Sus scrofa: one gene and its partners. The protein of the gene in region 1 binds, or shares a complex with, the protein of each later gene. Links are inferred from orthologs where the notes say so. Each region holds a gene or a part of one and is shown in the gene's direction. Other genes may lie near its edges.

Region 1 (4,127 bases):
GGGGCCTTGTTGATGTGCCGCAGGGTGAGTTTGCAGAACAGCTGGTGCCTGAGGGGACATTTCACAAGCGAGGTTCCAGACCAGTGGCTGTCTACTGTGGCTGCTCTTAGAATCACCCCGGAGAGTCTGAGCGGGGGAGGTCTACCATGTGGCTTGGGCACTGGGAGTCTTTTTTTTTTGGCTGCACCCACGGCATGGCGAAATTCCTGACCTAGGGATTGCAGCCATGCCACAGCAGTGACAATGCCAGAGCCTTAACCGTGAGGCCACCAGGGAACTTTGGGACTCTTATAGAGCTTCCAAGCACTTGTACTCTGAACTGGGGGGGAACCCCTCCCCCAGACAGTGGCCTCTCAATAGGCGGAGCCAGCCTCTCCAGACTGCTCCAGCATGAGAGAGGTGCGCTGGTGATAGCCTGGGAAGGTGTGCGACAGTGGGAGCATCTGCCAGCGCCCTCTTCATTAAGACTAGTATTGTCCACCGGGTGCTCTCAGCTAAATCAAAGTTCTTTTCAACTAAAGATAAAATGCCAGCGTTCGAACCTCAGGTGACAAAGCACAAGCGCTCCAACCCTCTATGAAGCAAAGAGGCCCAGGAGACAAACCTCATCTTTACAAAAAAGCAAACATGCACGGGGACCGGGCCTCGCCTGAGGTCCCAGGTGACGCCCAGCTCCAGGATTCCCACCTGGATCTCGGGGGCCCTAACTCAAGGGAGGGTGGGCGCCGCGGAACTGGTGGCGTCTTAGAGGAGCGCCCACCTAGCGGGGAGGGGTCGGGGCTGCGGAGTCTACCCGGCCCTAGCCAGACTCAGCACTAGGAACTGTCCCACCCCGGGCCTCCCGGGCAGGGCCCGCCCCGCCTCCGGCTCGTACGGGTTCTTGGTGCTGGGCACGATGTGCGGCTCGAACTCGGCGTAGTCGAAGGCCGGGGAGGCACGCACCAGCCGCCGGTACTTCTTGCCGCGGGTGTAGACTTGGAGCTCGGGCAGGCGGCAAGGCAGCTCATGACCCGTCAGAGCGCACCTCACCTGCCGGCGGGAGAGCGGGGCGGTCAGGGAGGCCGGGCAGCCGGGGTCCCGGGGGCGGTCTGGGGGTCCCGATCCCGCCGCCCACCTTGAGGGCGCCGGGCTCCAGCCGCAGACTCGGGTGCTCGCGCAGGAAGGCGACCACTTCGGCCGGCGGCTCGCTCATGGTCCCACGCGCGCGGACCCGCAGCTGAGCGCCGCTGGACCACGTGGGCCGGGGGCGGGGCCGGGCGGGCCCCGGAAGCAGACGCCTCCGGGCGCCGGAAGCGCGCGCGCGCGGGGCGATGGCGGCGCGGTGGCTGGGGCTGCGTGCGGCGGGGCTGGCGCAGGTGCTCCGCGCCGCGGGCGCGGGGCGGGTGAGCGGGGCGGGGAGCCCGGGCGGGGGGCGGCCCGGCTGGGGGGCGCGCCCGGACTGGACGAGCTCAGCCGGCCCCTCGCGTCTCCGCAGGCCCCGGCCCGCGCCGTCGGGAGGAGCGTCCTTGGGGTCATCTCGCGCCCAGGTGAGGAGTCGTTTGGCACCTGGGAAAGCTGCCCTGCACTTTGCCAGGGGTCATGGGGTCACGATGAACCCTGGAACTGCCTCCTGCGCCTCGGGGACAGGCCCTGGCCACGCGCCGGCCCGTCCCATGCGGCAGTCCGACGCCCTCGGCGGAAGACGTGCGGTAGTTGCCCAGACACCTCCTCGGACTAATGCGGGGCCAGCCCAAGGCTGAAACCGTCCGGGATCCTGAAGAAAAGCACAACCAGTCGCGACGGTTTGCACGTTGCCTCCCGGGTACAGCAAAGGGCAATCGTGTGTGTGTGTGTGTGGAGTGCGGTGCACATTTAAAGGTCGCAAGCCTGCTCCAGACCAGCTTGTTTAGCGGCCCCAAACCCATGATGCTTTCCGTTGACGGCACTCGCCCGCTGAGTGTCTAAAGGCACTTTCTGTGTACCTTTTTCGAGGTTTAAATGCTGAGAGCTCTGTAAACCACTGTCCTGAGTGTTTCACGCTCTCTTCAGAGCACTGTGGCTGGTGGACCTGTGTGGTCGGCGTGATAGGATGCATCTTAGCGGGTTCTTGTGCGAAAGGCACGGGTTGGTTATGTGAATCGGTCAGGGTCATGGTTGGTGGCAGAGCCAGGACTGAATGCTAGATCTCCTCGTCAGTGAACGTCCGCTGAGTGGGGGTCAAGGCCCGGGTACTGGGTAGGGGCAGGGCTGGGCTGCTGGTTGGCTCCTGACTGCACACGGTGGCCTGTGCCCTCCTCCCGGCCCATGTTCTCTTTGGCAATAGTGGCAGTTTTGAGAACTCGGAGCCTCCACTTCTTTGTCCCAGGCCTCTAGCCCCATGCCCATGTTGTGACATCTCCTAGGGCTGGCCTGGAGGCCCAGCAGGAGTGGCAGCTCTTCAGCTGAAGCGACTGCCGCAAAAGCGCACGATGATGCCTTTCTCCAGTGGTTTCTACTCCTCATTCCTGGGACTGCCTTTGGCCTGGGGACATGGCAGGTAAAGCCTGACCTCTGGCTCTCCTGGCCCTGAGCCCTTGACCCTGCTGCCACCCGCTCGAGCTAATGCTCTGTGTCTGTGTAGGTCCAGCGTCGGAAGTGGAAGCTAAAGCTGATCGCCGAACTGGAGTCCAGGATTATGGCTGAGCCCATCCCGCTGCCCGCAGAGTGAGTGTATGTGGCTGCCCACCAGGGCTGCGCTGGCCGGAGGTCACATGCCTTCCTGACCCTGATGGGAGCTCTCACATCAGTGGGCCTGCTAGGCTTCCTGTTGTCACTCGACTGCCCTTGTGACACTGCCTGACATACACAGGAAAATTTTTGAACCTGGGATTCACCTTTTTTTCCATGCCCTGTGCAGCAAGGGTCCCTCGAGGATGGCCTCTATAGCAGTCATTCTTAGCCAGCGCTAGGGTACACGTATCTCTTGACAGGAGAAGTACTTTGAAAAAGTGCCCAGTGAGTCTACAGCCCTGTCCCCTCATTTTAATTTTTTTAATTTTTATTTTTTGTCTTTCTGCCATTTCTAGGGCCACTCCCGCGGCACATGGAGGTTCCCAGGCTAGGGATCTAAGCGGATCTGTAGCTGCTGGCCTACACCAGAGCCTCAGCAACACGGGATCTGAGCCGCGTCTGCAAGCTACACCACAGCTCACGGCAATGCCAGATCCTTAACCCACTGAGCAAGGCCAGGGATCAAACCCACAACCTCATGGTTCTTAGATTCGTTAACCACTGAGCCACAACAGGAACTCCCCTGTCCCCTCATTTAAAAGCACCATCCAGAGTTCCTGTTGTGCCGCAGCAGCGAGTCCCACTAGTAACCATGAGGATGTGGGTTCCATCCCTGGCCTTGCTTGGTGGGTTAAGGATCCGGCATTGCCGCGAGGTGTAATTTAGGTCACAGGAGAGGCTTGGATCCCACGTGGCTGTGGCTCTGATATGACCCCTAGCCTGGGAACTTATATGTGCCACGGGTGCGGCCCTAAAAAACAAAAAATAAAAGCCCCATCCTAGAGGAACAGCTGTAATCAGAATGCTTTCCGCTCAAGACAGCAAACAGTGGGTCCCACTTGGCTTGCGGATGTGGCTTTGGCTCATGTGTTTTATCCCGTTCATGCGGGAGTCCATCTCTAAGCTTTTCCTGAACACTTGCTCCGTTGGGCAGCCCAGACCCACATTCCCATGTGGCATCAAAGGCCCCGGCTTCCTCCTTCAGAGGGCACCTCAGTCACCGTGGGCTTCATGGCAGATCCAAAGGGTTCGTCTTCCTGCCAAACCTTGCGCGGCCCCAGCTCCGTTTCTCCTCTCCCTGTAGCCCACTGGAACTGCGAAACCTGGAGTACAGGCCGGTGAAGGTCAGGGGGCACTTTGACCACTCCAAGGAGCTGTACCTGATGCCAAGGACCATGGTGGACCCGGCCCGGGAGGCCCGGGACGCCGGCCGGCTGTCGTCAACCGCCGAGAGTGGCGCCCACGTTGTCACTCCCTTCCACTGCACTGACCTGGGGTGAGTGGGGCTCAGGGGCCGACTGGCCTGTGAGGCGTTCATTTCCTTGGCTTTGCTTCTCAGCCCCCAACCCCAGGGCACCCAGGATACTCAGACAAGTTCA
Region 2 (4,276 bases), on another chromosome or scaffold:
CATGATATAAAGCAGGCATCGCAGCTTCCCTCTTTGCTATAAAGTCTTCTATCCTCACCCTAACAAGCTCCTGTAAGCACCCGAGGAGCAGTTATCTCACCTACAGTCATCTGTCTTCCTCCTCTGAACTTCTGCAGCCCCCAAGACTCCATCACTCATCAGCAACAGGCTGTGTCGGGTCATTAGCTGTCTTTTTATGTATATGTCCTGTCCCTCCATCCACATGACAGGATCCTGGAGAGCAAGGGTCATGTCTTATTCATCTTTGTGTCCCCCGTGGCACTTTGCCTGATGTTTGGGGCACAGCGGACAGTCCATAAATCTGCTGACAGATTGAATACCTGATTTATATGCTTCTGGAACCACAGAGGTACATAGTAGCTTGACTCAACTACAAAACTACAAAGAAAAGAGGAAACCTGTGACCTCCACACCATTTCCGAAAGATCGTAAATCTTTTCTGCACTAAATAATGATGCTGGGGTCAAGATTTGTTCCCCAGCCCCCAGCTGCTGGTATCATTCTTATTTAAAAACGATTGAGTGAAAGCCCAGGGAATCTTAGTCTCAGCTGTCCAGTACCGCTGGGTGGGTCATATACTGACACAGCCCCCCCCCAGAAACATGAAGGATGGCAATCACAGGAAGAGGAAGCAGATCTGTCCTCAGTGGCTTCCACCCCAGGCAACAAGGCAGAGCCCCAAGGTCCCATTAGTAGAACTGGCTGCTGGCTCCCTGCCCTGCACGGATCTCTATTCCCCATCCTCATTCGTAATCCTGACATCCAACAAAGGGAAGAGGGAGAGAGGAGAGCATGGAAGATCAGAGTCAGAAAAGATTTACTTGTAGTTTGGATGTTGCAATAATATTCCTCCCAAGCTAGCCTTGGTTCAGAAGCCCCTGCTGGCCATCCAGGGTCAGGCGATTTGCATTTGTCTCTAATCCCCTCAAACCGCCCTTAAGGCCAAGCAACTTGTTTAAATCATGCAGCCAAGACAGGATTTCCTCATCTGTAAAAGATATGTGGATTAAATCAATGAGCCCTAGAGAGCATCCACCTCTTGGTGGAGTCATGAAAATCAAACCAGTGGTGGAAGAAGGAAGTTTGGTTGGTAAAGGAGGGAGTGGTAACGAGGTCAGAAGAGTGTGGGTGGAGCGGCTGAGAGGTGAACCCGGTTTAGGGCAGGGGGCGGAACTGAGATCAAGAGCAATAAAAGCTCCACTCTCCATTCTCCCAGCTGGCGCTCGCCCTCCGGAGCCAGGCAGCCAGGCGCTGCCAGGCACCGCCCGGAGGCGGTGCGTGGGGTTACACGCCTCGCCCCTTCCTCCCCTAGTCCCACCCCCGCCCCAGCCCCACCCCCTGCCCTAGCCCCACCCAGTCCTAAGCCCCGCCTTCGGTGCCACCCTTGACCCAACCTCTTCCCGCCCCTGTTCCGCCTCCTAGCCCCGCCCACAAGGCCCGGAAGCAAAAGCCGTTTCTCCACTTCCCAGCCGGGTCACGACCCAGCGGGCAGGAGCCAGGATTGCGAGAGCTCGGTGTCCTCAGCGGGTCAGCGAAGGCCCGGTTCAGAGCCATGTCCACGAATCTGCGCACCGCGCTCATTTTTGGTGGCTTCATCACCCTGATCGGCGCCGCCTTCTACCCCATCTACTTCCGGCCCCTAATGCGGCTGGAGGAGTACCGTGAGTGACCTCTGACCACCACGCGGTGCCCTGGTCCCAGTGACTCCCTCTCTTTCCCCATCCTCTCCACGTGGGGCCTTGGGCAGAGCTTGGCTCGCGAGTCAGGGAGACCTGGGTTCGAATCCTTTGTGTGCAGCTTTGTGACCGTGGACAAGTGACTCCACCTCTTGGGCCCTCACTATCTTCATCAGTAGTTATGTGTTTCTGTAGTATCTTAAAATAAAACCGTCTAGCCTCTGCTGAGACTCAAAGGCAGTCTGCACGTCGTAGGTCAACACTAAATACGAGTTAATATTCATAGCTAACATTCACTGCAGGCTTCTATGTCTCGTTAATGCACATAGGATCTTTTAATTTACACCTTTTTTTGAGGTACATGTTGCTGTCTTACAGACGGGGAAACTGAGACTCAGGTTGTGTAACATGCCCAAAGTCACACAGCTGTTAGCGGCAAGACACGTATTCCAACCCAGGCCTCTGTCTCCAGAATTTCTTCCTTGTACTGAAGCTGGGAAGGTGATATTGGGGGAGGGAGGTGGGCCCTAATTGTCCTGAACTTGCAGATGTGTTTATTGCACTTCATTTCCGCTCCCAAAGATGTCTTTGATCAGAAATGTCTCAGAGCTAAACTGTTAACCTGAGGTTTTGGGTTTTTCCTCTTCTTTCTCCTCAAATCTTCCTTCAGATTCTGCTATCTTCCTTCATTTTAAGCTGGTTACTCACATGACAATGGTGAATATCCTGGGAGTAATTTTCTTCCTTAATCATTCCAGTCCTATCATTCTAAAAGCCACACTCCCCTTCCTTGAGACCTATACCTCAGCAAGGATTAGCACTTTGATACATCTGAAACCATCTGTCAGAGAGAAAATATTAGGCATTAGAGGCTCATTTTGTTCTCCAGGAAACCTGAATCATCTAGAAGATGGAAAAGGGCCAACCTTGCCCCTTGAGAATATCAGTGGAGGCTGTGAGCTTGGTGATTTGAAGGCAAAAGTGCTGTATAAATGCTCTGACCATTACAAATGCTACAACATCTGGTTTCTGAGGCAGAGCGGTTTAAGTACACACTCAAATTTCTTGTAGCTTCTTTTCATCAGTCAAGATTGAAATGGCCTCTGCACCCTGCCTTCCAGCCTATCTATCTACGTGACCACGCGTGACCACGCGTGACCACGCGTGACCACGCGTGACCACGCGTGGGGGTAAACATGGGACCTTGGAAGCCCTGCGTTATCTCTCTGTTTTATCCCTTCTTACTTGGTCCTTGCCCCGGGCTATTGTATTATAGCCCCTAGAGTTGAAGCTGGGACAAGGGAATCTACTTTGGATCCTACTTGAAAAGTTTCAGTTCTGAAGACTAGAGCCGTACCTCTCAACTGGGGATGATTTTTGTCCCCCAGGGGACATTTAGTTCTATCGGGAGACGTTTTTGCTGGTCACAAAATGGGTGGGGTGGGTGGAGTAAGTGTGCTCCTGGCATCTAGTGTATAGAGGCCAGGGTGCTGCTAAACTCTCTGTAATGCACAGGGCAGCCCCCACCCCTTAACAAAGAATTACCCAGCCCAAGATGCGAGTGGTGCCAGTGGTGCTGGGTTGAGAAACCCTTGCTCTAGGGCAGATGATCAAGGTGGGTTTGTGCTGTGTCTCCCAATGACAGTCTTAAAGGAATAGTCCAGGGAGTTCCCATTGTGGCTCAGCTGTTTAAGAACCTAATATCCATGAGAATGAGGGTTTGATCCCTAGCCTTGCTCAGTGGATTAAGGATCCAGCATTGCCACAAGATACAGCATAGGTCGCAGGTGCAGCTCAGATCTGGCACTTGCTGTGGCTGTGCTGTAGGCTGGCAGCTGCAGCTCCAGTTCGACCCCAGCCTGAGAATTTCCATATCTGGCAGGTGCAGCCCTAAAAAAAAAAAGGCGGGATGGGGAGTAGTCCAGAGTCTATGGTTGCCTGAGTCACCTTGAGATAGACAAATGAGGCCTTTAAAGTGAACATTTAGTGCATGTGGCTCCAGTATCTGCATTTTTAACTGTAAGGCATTCTACAGCTGCCTGCTTTTCTGGTTCAATTTTAATTGATTTGAACAACTCTTATCTGAGAGTCATAACTGATTCCTTAAAAAAGTAAATAATACTAAATAGCTAATATTTATTGAAAGCTCTCTTGCAAGCACTTGATATATATTAACCCATTTGGTTTTCATAACAACCCTTTGTGGTAGCTGCTGTGTGACTAGCTCCCTGTTTTATTTTTTAATTCTATTCTATTCTACTCTACTCTAAACTATTTTATTTTTTGTCTTTTCTTTCTTTTTTTAATTTTTTTTGGTCTTTTGTCCTTTTAGGGCCGCGCCCGCAGCATATGGAGGTTCCCAGGCTAGGGGTCTGATCAGAGCTATAACTGCCGGCCTACACCGGTGCCATAGCAACGCAGGATCCGAGCCGTGTCTGCGACCTACACCACAGCTCACAGCAACGCTGGATCCTTAACCCACTGAGCGAGGCCAGGGATCGAACCCACAACCTCCTGGTTCCTAGTCGGATTCGTTAACCACTGCGCCACGATGGGAACTCCCATCATCCCCATTTTAT
Region 3 (3,596 bases), on another chromosome or scaffold:
ATTACATGTAATATATTCTGTACTTCTTCCCCCACCAAATTCATCATACTGTTGCTAAGTCTAAAACTGTAATTTGTCAAAGATTGTTCTGAAAAAAAAAGGAAATCTCACATATTCACGAAGGGTCTTTTCAGGTTACACGTATTTTTCAGCATTTTATCTGATTAAAATTCTAGGTCTGGACTTCCCTGGTGGCTCAGTGGGTTAAGGATCCAGTGTTGTCACTGCTGTGGCTAAGGTCGCTATTATGGTGCGGGTTTGGTGCCTGGCCTGGGAACCTGTGTGTGCCACAAGCACGGCCAAAACATAAAAGTGCTTCTTATATGTAAGGTTCACTGATGTTTTATTGAATGCAGGTGCTCTCTGCTCATCTCCTCACTCATTGTATTACCCACGTTGTTGGCATTGCAGAGTGTGGTCCTTCAGCGAGTAGTTAGTTGGTAGTCGTCAGCGAGGCCTCACGTTTGGACGGCCCTTCCTTCGTTCCGTGTTCTCCTCCCCTGGCCTGGGAACCATCTATATCAGGATGTTTTGACACTTGTTAGGCAGTTAGGTAAAAAGAAAGTTGTAACTATCTGAATCTTATATTTGTTTTCTTTTTTGATGAGGAATAATGTACATGTTAAGTTTACAGACAATTTTAGAATACTGGCTTGGAAGACCTTAGAGATTATTTAAACTAGTCCCCGCATTTATACATGAGGAAACATATTCTAAGTCCACATATCTTTTCTCCAGTGAATAAGAGATTAAAAGCAATTCTAACAGCTGCTCTTTTTTATGAGCCCGGACCTGCACTAAGCACTTAACTGGAGAAGTAAGAGTTTTGATCCCTGGAGCTTCCAAGAGATGTTTGTTGACTAGAAGCTATTCAGCTGGTGCCAGTCATCATCATCAGCTATGCCTCTTGGTTGGGGTGGGCAGCCCTGGGGCAAAGGGCCCAGGAATGTGGCCAGGAGGGCGGCCAGGCTCGTGTCCTCTGGGTCCCCCAGAGCACAGCACCGCCTCCGTGACATTTGCTGCAGGATACCTGGAGGCCCCCATATGCACACATCGCCCCAGCACAGGGTGCCCAGTAAATGTTAGCTCTGTTTTTCAGTTTGTATTTGTTATTTATTGACTGCTGTTATCTGCATCATAATCATTTGAATGTCCTTCCTTCTCTTGCCCCACGAAGATAGGAAGGTAAAAATGATAGGTTCTGGCCCATCCTGGGAGATGGCTGGGAACACAGAGGGGAGGCCTCCACTTAGGTGGAAGCAGGCAAGGCAACAGGCCATGACTGACATTTGCTGAAATTGAACGGAGGGCTGTTCCCAGAGAATGTGTTATTTGACCTTCATTCTCAACATATGCTAAGAGATGCTCTGCTGTATTTACTGTTGCCGTCCCATGGACGCGCTCCTACCCTCTCATCTCTTCAGTGACCTCTTGAAACACTGATGGTTTGTGTTCTCTTATGTCCCCCGTCTCATCCTCATTTGTTCCTCAGTAAACTGCAGTCTGACTTCTGCCCTCACCCGGTGTAAGCTGCTCTTCCTAAAGCTTCTAGTAGGTATCCTCCCATCCTTTCTAAACTCGACCTCTCTGGAAACCCCTAAGATGCTCTTCGACCTGGCTTCCCTCATTACCCTCTTTTCTCTTCCCTCAGCATCTCTGTCTTTCTCTTCTGGACCTTTTCTTCCTCTCCTCTTCCTTCATGTCGGTTTGCCAGATCTTCTCCTCATTGTCAAATATGACAAAGGTCAGTTTACATCCACGGAATCCAGCTCCTTCCTGTCAATCGTGGATTCATTTCTTGGCTCTCTTCTTCAGGCCCCATACTGGACTTGGCCCTTTGACTCTTGCATCCTGTGTCTTTGTCAATTTCACTCGTCTAGAATCCAGAATCTTCCTGGGCTCCTAATTGTTCATTTCATCTCCTGAGTTACCCCCCAGAGCGATTTCACCCTTCTCATCAGGATGTGCCTCCCTGTGCTCAGGCCCTCTTTGCATCTTGTCTGGGTTAAGGTCCTGGTTTATTTATTGGACACTGCTCTCACCTTGCTGGCCTTTTGCCACAAGTTGTCAGACTTATTCAAGACACAGAATTGATCTCACAGCTGTCATATTAATAGTGCCCATTCGGGTAGATCTGACTTATTAGAGGGGCATGAATGGATCATCATGACCGGGCCTCTGCCATTCTGGCTTCACCTCAGCCCCTTCTTCTGTTGAGAAACTGCTATGCTGGTACTAGTGTACATATAGCTCTTCGCCCGTCAGTGTTTCCTCATCTGTGGGCTTTTCCACATGTGCCTTCTATGTGCATTTTTGTTGGTCCTTCAGAATGTGGTTCAAATATCCCTGGACAGTGTCCTTCTCCTGCTGCTCCCTTGTTTCCATGGTGCGCTGGGCCACGCCTCTGTCTCCCACCCACATGCATCACTGTGACACAGGCCTTGTCTTCTGACATCTTGGACTCCTGAGGACGGTGCCGAGCTTCCTGTTTCTCTCTCCTGGCTATCCAGAAAAAAAAACCTATTAGGTCTTTTTTTTTTTTTTTTCTCCCTTTAATTTGGTAGCTGAATGTTTACAACAAATTTGACCATTATTAAAAATCTGCTACTAAAGATTGTGTCTGATGAACTGGATGTCTGAATGTATTGTGAAAGGGAGCTTATATTATATGCTTGCAAAGTAATTCACTTTAAAAGTTTTTTCTTTCTTATAGCTATAATGATCCAGCCTTTTATGAAGAATGCAAAATGGAATATCTGAAGGAAAGGGAAGAATTCAGAAAAACTGGGATTCCTACCAAGAAAAGACTACAGAAGCTTCCCACAAGCATGTAGGCGAAGTCAAATGATACTCAGGAACCCTAATATCCATGGAAATCACAGTCACCTGAAATAACGGACTTAAGGAAGTGTTTGCTTTACCCTTAATTACGGAAATAATTTTATCTGAAATAAAGTTCTTGCAAACTTCAAAGTTAAGTTTATTAAATAGGATAGGAGTAAGTAGTAAAATGGGATGTGGTCTGCTTGGTCATTATGGATTTTCCATTAACTTTTGCACAACTGTGGTTCTGTAACAGTGACAGCTGATTTCTTAAGTTTCCACATGACTCTTACCTTACTCTCCTCATGTGGCCAGCATTTACTAAAGCAAAGCAGGAATGGACAGCCTTCAGAGGTGTAGTAACTTGGCAGTATAGCATAATGGTTATGAACCTACCATTTATTAGTTAAGCAACTGTGGATATGTCTCATAGTTACCATGAGTATTAACCAAGTACTGCAGGTAAGTAGAGTAGGTAGGACAGTGCCTTGCACATGGTAAGTGCTCTTTGTAGTTATTATCAGTAGTAGTATGAGTATAGTATTTTTAATGGCCACATCTGCAGCATGTGGAAGTTCCTGGACTAGGGGTTGAATCAGAACTGCAGCTGAGGCCTATGCCACAGCCGCAGCAACACCAGATCCGAGCTGCATTTTTGACCTACAGCACCTTAACCCACTGAGCAAGGCCAGGGATCAAACCCACATCCTCAGGGAGAGTCAGGTCCTTAACCTGCTGAGCCACAGCAGAAACTCCTTTATGGTTATCATTAG

The links.
Region 2: surfeit locus protein 1 (region 1) and SMIM20 share a complex: the UniProt entries of both Homo sapiens proteins name them as parts of the MITRAC (mitochondrial translation regulation assembly intermediate of cytochrome c oxidase complex) complex. The link is inferred for Sus scrofa from reciprocal best matches to the Homo sapiens genes SURF1 and SMIM20.
Region 3: surfeit locus protein 1 (region 1) and CMC1 share a complex: the UniProt entries of both Homo sapiens proteins name them as parts of the MITRAC (mitochondrial translation regulation assembly intermediate of cytochrome c oxidase complex) complex. The link is inferred for Sus scrofa from reciprocal best matches to the Homo sapiens genes SURF1 and CMC1.

Annotation. Positions count from the first base shown.
Region 1 is NC_010443.5:272,967,655-272,971,781, reverse strand, and holds the start of surfeit locus protein 1, read left to right. Parts: upstream 1-1,295; 5' UTR 1,296-1,310; coding exon 1,311-1,382; intron 1,383-1,474; coding exon 1,475-1,526; exon of another isoform or gene 1,527-1,716; coding exon of another isoform or gene 1,717-1,801; intron 1,802-2,381; coding exon 2,382-2,515; intron 2,516-2,599; coding exon 2,600-2,682; intron 2,683-3,832; coding exon 3,833-4,024; intron 4,025-4,127. Other genes in the region: SURF2 (surfeit locus protein 2), read right to left, coding at 1-48, 875-1,029, 1,115-1,192. UniProt on the Homo sapiens protein: Component of the MITRAC (mitochondrial translation regulation assembly intermediate of cytochrome c oxidase complex) complex, that regulates cytochrome c oxidase assembly.
Region 2 is NC_010450.4:19,699,586-19,703,861, forward strand, and holds the start of SMIM20 (small integral membrane protein 20), read left to right. Parts: upstream 1-1,456; 5' UTR 1,457-1,573; coding exon 1,574-1,682; intron 1,683-4,276.
Region 3 is NC_010455.5:14,751,717-14,755,312, forward strand, and holds the end of CMC1 (COX assembly mitochondrial protein homolog), read left to right. Parts: intron 1-2,713; coding exon 2,714-2,834; 3' UTR 2,835-2,973; downstream 2,974-3,596. UniProt on the Homo sapiens protein: Component of the MITRAC (mitochondrial translation regulation assembly intermediate of cytochrome c oxidase complex) complex, that regulates cytochrome c oxidase assembly.